2 linked regions of the Callithrix jacchus genome follow. The protein of the gene in region 1 binds, or shares a complex with, the protein of each later gene. Links are inferred from orthologs where the notes say so. Each region holds a gene or a part of one and is shown in the gene's direction. Other genes may lie near its edges.

What was found.
Region 2: the proteins of NFKB1 (region 1) and NFKBIA are in contact, whole or in part, in a crystal structure (PDB 1NFI), measured with the Homo sapiens proteins. The link is inferred for Callithrix jacchus from reciprocal best matches to the Homo sapiens genes NFKB1 and NFKBIA. Residues at the interface, in NP_001158884.1 of Homo sapiens: Lys251, Ile252, Val253, Arg254, Met255, Asp256, Arg257, Thr258, Ala259, Pro326, Lys345, Leu348, Tyr350, Ile353; in NP_065390.1 of Homo sapiens: Asn108, Asn109, Leu110, Gln111, Arg140, Tyr181, Pro214, Cys215, Asn216, Arg218, Tyr248, Gln249.

What each region holds. Positions count from the first base shown.
Region 1 is NC_133504.1:94,726,157-94,729,964, reverse strand, and holds part of NFKB1 (nuclear factor NF-kappa-B p105 subunit), read left to right. Parts: coding exon 1-180; intron 181-627; coding exon 628-797; intron 798-1,126; coding exon 1,127-1,229; intron 1,230-3,808.
Region 2 is NC_133509.1:69,916,165-69,920,681, reverse strand, and holds the start of NFKBIA (NF-kappa-B inhibitor alpha), read left to right. Parts: upstream 1-1,514; 5' UTR 1,515-1,623; coding exon 1,624-1,838; intron 1,839-2,446; coding exon 2,447-2,555; intron 2,556-2,885; coding exon 2,886-3,096; intron 3,097-3,393; coding exon 3,394-3,482; intron 3,483-3,589; coding exon 3,590-3,850; intron 3,851-4,199; coding exon 4,200-4,247; 3' UTR 4,248-4,517. UniProt on the Homo sapiens protein: Inhibits the activity of dimeric NF-kappa-B/REL complexes by trapping REL (RELA/p65 and NFKB1/p50) dimers in the cytoplasm by masking their nuclear localization signals.

The sequences.
Region 1 (3,808 bases):
TCACTAAGCAGGAAGATGTGGTGGAGGATTTGCTGAGGGCCGGGGCCGACCTGAGCCTTCTGGACCGCTTCGGTAACTCTGTTTTGCACCTAGCTGCCAAAGAAGGAAATGATAAAGTTCTCAGTATCTTACTCAAGCACAAAAAGGCAGCACTACTTCTTGACTACCCCAACGGGGACGGTAAGAGGCAATCACATCATTGGTATAACTTTTTCTGCCTTGTAAATACCTACTAGGTATTTGATAAATGTGTGTTATTTGATTTGTACCCAAAAGGACTTTCCTTAGTCACCTGGAATTCATCATCTCTTTTGGTCATTTCTGTTGCTCACCAAAGCTAATTTTTTAGAAGATGGTTTGGAATAGTAGGAGGAAAAAGCAGAGGCCTGAGTAAACATTCATCTTGAAGTGCATAAAGCATCATTCATTCAGAGAATGTTTGTTTATGCCCAGTGTCTCCTGAGAACATAATAGGAGACTGTGGGTCCTCAAAGCAGAACAATAGACTTATAGTGCCTTTACTGTCCCTCCCTATGATCCAGTTTTTGCCATTTCCTTCAGCTTCACCAAGGGCCATCTTGTGAGTATCCATCCCATCCTGTGACTGTCCCTTTGCTTGGACTCTAGGTCTGAATGCCATTCATCTAGCCATGATGAGCAATAGCCTGCCATGTCTGCTGCTGCTGGTGGCCGCTGGGGCCAACGTCAATGCTCAGGAGCAAAAGTCCGGACGCACAGCACTGCACCTAGCTGTGGAGCACGACAACATCTCATTGGCTGGCTGCCTGCTCCTTGAGGTGAAGGACACACTTATTTTATTTTTCATTGAATTCCTGAGGGAGATTTAAGGAAATCTTCAAAGAATGAAGTCAATAGCTGCTGTTCTCCCTACAATCAACTCTATTTATTTAACATTTATGAAGGGCTTCAGAGTAGCCCCTTCAGACATTCCCCACCCCCCACTCTTGCTTGGCATCTCTAATTGGTGATTTCTTCAATGACAGAGCCAGCCCAAAGTAGCAACGGGGCTAGTAATAGGACCCGAGGGGCCATGTACACTGGGAGGTGGGGACAAAAGGGCAAAAGAACCTTCTACTAACGCTTTTCTGTGTGGGCTGGATTGTAGGGTGATGCCCATGTGGACAGTACTACCTACGATGGAACTACACCCCTGCATATAGCAGCTGGGAGAGGGTCCACCAGGCTGGCCGCTCTTCTCAAAGCGGCAGGTAAGGTGGCCTGGCGGTCATTAATGAAAAATGTTGTCAAGAATGCAAACCCGACTTCAATAGAGCAGCCATGTTGCCTTCTTTAAGCCACAGACCTACTGCTGAAAAGCAAGGGCAAATAAAAATTATATGGCAAGTCACATTTTATCTGCCATAAGGCACTGTTTGGACTAGTAATCTTGAGCTTTACCCTCACAGCCATGTCAGTTTTACTTTCTGATTCATCTATTTGTTTGGGGTTTGATTATTTAGATTGACTCCCATGACAAGGGGTCTTTTCAAAGTAGAGTTTGATTCCTTATAGAATTCTGAGTAGTATCAGTCTCAGATAATGTCAGAAGTCCCCAGAAGAAAAAGATTATTGGTATAAGAAATCATTTAAAGACTTCATTTTGAAAGAATGGTCTCTTAGAAATTGAAGTATAGGAAAAAGAAAATGGGCCATATATTAAGACCCATTATGTGGAAGACACTAAAAATGGCTAGCACTTATTGACCTTGCATATACCAGGCACTGTGATAGCACTTTTTTTTTTTTGAGACAGAGTTTCGCTCTTGTTACCCAGGCTGGAGTGCAATGGCACAATCTCGGCTCACTGCAACCTCCGCCTCCTGGGTTCAGGCAATTCTCCTGCCTCAGCCTCCTGAGTAGCTGGGATTACAGGCACGCACCACAATGCCCAGCTAATTTGTTGTATTTTTAGTAGAGACGGGGTTTCACCATGTTGACCAGGATGGTCTCGATCTCTTGACCTTATGATCCACCTGCCTCGGCCTCCCAAAGTGCTGGGATTACAGGCGTGAGCCACCACGCCCAGCCCTGTGATAGCACTTTATGTGCACAGTCTCATTTAATGTCCAGTCACCCTTTGGAACAAATACCATTATTATTCCCATCTTAGAGTCAAGGAAACAGACGAGAGAGATTACCAGATTCCATTCAGGGTTCCAGTAAGTGACAGAGCTGTGAGTCACACTTTGGCAATGTGAGCTTCTCTTTACTTTATTCTCTCTACTATGTTTCATTCTCCTATTTTGCTCATAGGTTTGCAGATGTTATTCCATTTCTAGTCTTATGAAGTATAGAAAATTATCCATGCTTATCTTTGAATCTTCAGTGCCCTACATATTTAGAACCTCAAAATACGTGTAATGAAATTGGTATCTTAAGCCTGCCCTGACATATCTGATTTACTTTAGAGGGTTTTTTTGTTTTTGTTTTTTTTTTTAATGTAGAAGGTAACTGCACCATAAATTCAAGAAAACAAAGCAAATTAAAGACGCAGGAACTTTTTCTTTGGGGACACCATATTTTTCTCTTTTGTTAAATTGAGCTTTTTCTTGAACAAGAAACTCTGATTGCAGTGTGTATTAATAGTTTTAGAAGACACTGATTATAATTAAATGCCTTCAGACAAGAAGCTATAACCAGCCAGACGCGATGGCTCATGCCTGTAATCCCAGCACTTTGAAAGTCTGAGGTAGGAGGATCACTTGTACCGACGAGTTTGAGACCAGCCTGGGAAACATAGTGAGACCTCATCTCTATTAAACATTTTTAAAAGTAGCCAAGCATGGTAGCATGCGCCTGTAGTCCCAGCTACTTGAGAGACTGAGGTAGGAGTATTGCTTGAGCCTGGGAGTTCTAAGAGTGCAGTGAGCTACAGTTGTACCCCTGCATTCCAGCCTGAGCTATAGAGTGAGACCCCCATCTTAAAAAGAAAAAATAAACTATAAATACCCTTTTAAAAATACTTTATATTGAATTCTCAGAATCCCATTAAAGGAATAGCAAGTAACAGTTTCTCTGATATACAAATGAAGAAACTCAGATGAAAAACCAAAGTCCTAATTTTAACGTCATGGAAAAGGTCAGGTAAGGCCAAGTACAGTGACTCATGCCTGTAATCCCAGCATTTTGGGAGGCTGAGGCGGGTGGATCATCTGAGGGTTGTGAGTTGCAGACTCACCTGGTCAACATGGCAAAACCCCATCTCTACTAAAAATACAAAAATTAGCCAGGCTTGGAGGCAAGCGCTTGGGAGGCAAGCTGCTTGGGAGGCTGAGGCAGGAGAATTGTTTAAGCCCTGGAGGTGGAGGTTGCAGTGAGTCAAAATCTTGCCATTGCACTCCAGCCTGGGCAACAGAGCAAGACTCTAGTCTTTGGTTCTGTAAAGTGTTCATCTTAATTTCTCCATTGTCTTCATGGTGGGATTACATTTATTGCCAGAACTGGGAGAGTAAAATCGAGAAATAGCATGGAGATCCTTCTCTGCTTCCCATTAAGCACTATTCTCTTATTACTGACCCATCTGATATTCTCCCAACAAGATAAAAACAAGTTCCTCCACCCAAAATAGCATCATTAAACATCAAGTTAAACACTCAAACAAGAGCCTAAGCCTCTGAGAAGTAACTCTAGCTCTAGTCTTGGAGTTACATTGGTGTTTTGTTATTTGTTTGTTTTTGTTTTTGCTGGATGCTAAAGAGCACACTAGATTTCCCAAAATATTTCAATAATTATACATCCTAGCAGGTTGGTTTGTTTAAAGATCAGAACCCTGGCATGCTGTACCCAG
Region 2 (4,517 bases), on another chromosome or scaffold:
AGTCAGATTTCTTATATTCTAATATTGGGGGAAAGGTGGAGATTTGAAGAGAGGGGAAGGATTGGTTAGTACATGGCCAGTCAAGGTAAAGATGACTGCAATAATCACCAGAAATCTCTGCAGAACTATAGAGGCCTCCCGGGACTAATCCTGAAGAGCTCTGATTGAAGTTTGCTTTCTTTTGCCTATACCAACTCTATCAAGTAGAATTCAGTCCATGACTTGTAGACTTGGAGGTGGAGATGGGGTGGAGAGCAAAAATTCTATTTCTGCAGGTAAAACCAGAGCACAGTGAGCCCAAACCCCTTTCTACCTGGGTGGCATGAATGAGTCCAACTGCTACCGTCCCCCCGGACAATGGAGCAAGGAGGGGCGGGCAGGACCAGACTGCCTTCAGCCTCCCGCAGGATGCCTGGCAACTAGTTTCTTAGTGGTCCTTACGGTCCAAGCGCGGTTTAAGGTACTAACTAAACTCATTCTTCAGTCTCCTTCTCCAAGTGTTCCTGGAGAATTGCTCAGTTTGCACCCAGAAGTAGGCTCAGGATCCATTCTCTGCAGCAGCACAATGTAGGTCAGAGAGCATGAACAAAATCGCTACTTAGGAACACAATAGTTATTTTGTTATTGCAAAGTATCCACAACCACTACTACAAAGATTAGCACCTAGCTTTACTTAGGGGGAAGAAAATCCTGGTCCTATTTAGCAGTTTCCCCCGTACAGGGAGAGTTCACCCCTCCCCCAGTCAACAGAGCTCTTCTTCCATAGGAACTTATTTGAGAGTTCTCCAAGGATTTAGGTTTTCACTCCAAAGCTTTCACAACTTCTATCTGGCGGGGTGTGCGGGGGTGGGGGTGGGGGTGGGGGTGGGGGTGGGGGTGGGGGTGGGGGTGGGGGTGGGGGTGGGGGTGGAGAAGCTAAGCGTCCCGGTGCTGCAAAGAGCCTGGTATTGGTAGAAACACGTCGGCGGCCTGCAGCCTTCTAATCACAGTGCGTCCTTCCCCTTAGAGAGAAGTCTGCGGAAAGCAAATCCCTACACCCAGCCATCATTTCCACTCTTGCGTTTTCAAAAGATCAAAAAACGGAAAAGACCGGCAGGTTGGCAAACCCCAAAGAAGGACTGCCCATCAGGTCGGCGTCCTTGGGATCTCAGCAGCCGACGACCCCAATTCAAAGCGATCGTGGGAAACCCCAGGGAAAAATGGTTAACTTGCAGAGGGACAGGATTACAGGGTGCAGGCTGCAGGGAAGTACCGGGGGCAGGGGGCCTGGTAGGAAGGACTTTCCAGCCACTCGGCGCTCATCAAAAAGTTCCCTGTCCGTGACCCCAGTGCCTCATCGCAGGGAGTTTCTCCGATGAACCCCAGCTCAGGGTTTAGGCTTCTTTTTCCCCCTAGCAGAGGACGAAGCCAGTTCTCTTTTCTGGTCTGACTGGCTTGGAAATTCCCCGCGCCTGACCCCGCCCCAGAGAAATCCCCAGCCAGCGTTTATAAGGGCGTTGGGGCGGCGCTGCAGAGCCCACAGCAGCCCGCGCCGCCGTACCGTTCGCCAGCGCTCCAGCGAGGAAGCAGCGCGCAGCCCGCGGCCCAGCGCACCCGCAGCAGCACCCACAGCTCGCCCGAGCAATGTTCCAGGCAGCCGAGTGGGCCATGGAGGGCCTCCGCGATGGGCTGAAGAAGGAGCGGCTGCTGGACGACCGCCACGACAGCGGCCTGGACTCTATGAAGGACGAGGAGTACGAGCAGATGGTCAAGGAGCTGCGGGAGATCCGCCTAGAGCCGCAGGAGGCGCAGCACGGCGCCGAGCCCTGGAAGCAGCAGCTCACCGAGGACGGGGACTCGTAAGTGGCGCGGGCCAGGGGTCGTTGGGAGGACCGGACGCGCGCAGGCGGGGCTTGGGGGGTGCTGGGCCTGCAGCCCGAGCCCGGGGACCAGCGCTGCAGCCGGGCCAGCACCGCGGCGCCCCGGGGCTCCTGCACGGCGCCGAACGCTGCAGGGCCGCAGGGCCGCGCGGGACTCCGGCTGGACTAGGAGGGGCAGAGGCTCGGCTCTGGTGGACCGCAGCGTCGCCACACGCCCCCTCCCCCCCATCCGTCCTCTAGGCCGGGGGCGGGGCGGCGGTGGGGACGCGAAGTCCCCGGTTGCATAAGGCGGGGCGGGAGTTTCTGGCCGCTGGCGGGCGCCTTGCAGCCGGGAGGGGAAGTACAGGGCGTTCCGAGCCGGCGGGAGGGCGGGGCGGTCTGGCCGGCGCCCGCCGAGGCCTGAAGGAGGGGGGCGGAAAGTCCCTGGGCGCCTGCCAGGAACACTCAGCTCATAATAACCTCGCGGAAAACACCGCGGCCTCGGCCTCCAGAAACCCCGGCCTTGCGCAATCCCCCGCAGCCCGCGCCTCCCTGGGCCCCACGCGGTGCACTCACCACCCCTGGGGGTTTTTCCCTCTTCCCCACAGGTTCCTGCACTTGGCCATCATCCATGAAGAAAAGGCACTTACCATGGAAGTAATCCGCCAGGTGAAGGGAGACGTGGCCTTCCTCAACTTCCAGAACAACCTGCAGCAGGTGCGCACGTGCCTGGCCCGGGCTTTCTTTGACCCTGGGACAGAGCTGATGTAGCAGAGTCACCCCAGATCCTTTCTGAATTAAGGGCCACTGGGCATTATTCACCCCTGCCGTTTACTTCGCATCAGCCCCCATCCTAGAGAGGGAAGGAAATTCTATGGATTTGGTGAGGTCTTTATGACCCACCTGGAGCCTCTGCTATTTGCCAGCCCTCCCCACCCTCCCACCTGGGAGGAGCAGCACCCAACCAGGAGACATTGGGGATCCGGGGAACTCGGGGTGTGGGTTTGATTCATGGCTTACTCTCTCTGGTTTCTCTTGCACTGGTAGACTCCACTACACTTGGCTGTGATCACCAACCAGCCAGAAATTGCTGAGGCACTTCTGGGAGCTGGCTGTGATCCTGAGCTCCGAGACTTTCGAGGAAATACCCCCCTACACCTTGCCTGTGAGCAGGGCTGCCTGGCCAGCGTGGGAGTCCTGACTCAGGCCTGCACCACCCCACACCTCCACTCCATCCTGAAAGCTACCAACTACAATGGTATGTCTGCCTTCCTGCCCTGCCCCACCCCCTCAGAGGGCAGGTGACATGCAGAAAGGGCACGTGGGCCAACTTAGGGAGTCCAGGAAAGAGCTTAAACTCCCAACCTGTGAAAGATCGAGAAAAGATGTGTGCAATATGCCTATTGGATACATTTTAAAAGTCCCTTCAGAACCCAGACTGGGGTTCTTAAAATTCAGAAGACATGACTGTTTGTCCCATAAAAGAATAGGTGAAAGGTGCTGCTTTAGGAGGGTTGAAACAAATGGTTATGCTTTTTTCCTTTTGTTCTTCCAGGCCACACGTGTCTGCACTTAGCTTCTATCCATGGCTACCTGGGCATCGTGGAGCTTTTGGTATCCTTGGGTGCTGATGTCAATGCTCAGGTGAGTGCTTCCTGCCTCCCATGTTCTGAGTCAAGCTCCTCGTGCTTGTGTTGCAAGCAGAAATTCCAAACGCAGCCATAGGCATCTCAAATTCCTTTTGGTTTCAGGAGCCCTGTAATGGCCGGACTGCCCTTCACCTCGCAGTGGACCTGCAGAATCCTGACTTGGTGTCGCTCCTGCTGAAGTGTGGGGCTGATGTCAACAGAGTTACCTACCAGGGCTACTCCCCTTACCAGCTTACCTGGGGTCGCCCAAGCACCCGGATACAGCAGCAGCTGGGCCAGCTGACACTAGAAAACCTTCAGATGCTGCCAGAGAGTGAGGATGAGGAGAGCTATGACACAGAGTCAGAATTCACGGAGGATGAGGTGAGTCTGAACTGCTTCAGTATTCTGTGAAATTAATGGCGGGGGGGCTTTCCCTTCACCCTCCCAGTCCCCTAGAGCTGCTCTTCATTAGAGGAATGTCCATGTAATGAATCTCTCAAATTTCTGTGTATAACCAGTATCCCAAGAATGTGCCTTTTTTTTTTTTTAATAGCGCACTGTTTTTTTTAAAAGAGAAGCATTAAAGGCAAACTCCCTCAACCTGTAAAGTTCACTATATTTGGGCTACGGAGAATGGAGTCCAAGTGTTATTTCCAGTAGCAGCTTCCCCATCCCAATAGCTTGGCAGAGCTCCAGAAGTTTAACGTTCTTTTTTTCCCTTTGTTTTCAGCTCCCCTATGATGACTGTGTGTTTGCAGGCCAGCGTCTGACATTATGAGCACAAAGGGTCTGAAAGAACGTGGACTTGTATATTTGTACAAAAAGAGAGTTTTATTTTTCTTAAAAAAAAAAAAAAAAAAAAAAAATTTAAAGGGTGTACTTATATCCATACTGCACACTGCCTGGCCCAAAACATTTTACTGTGGTGGGATCAGCCCTCGTTTTGTTACTTTCGTGAACTTTTTGTAGGGGACAAGAAAGATCATTGAAATTCCAAGAAAACTTCTTTTAAGCTTTACCTTTGTGGGAGTTTGGATAATGTTATCAA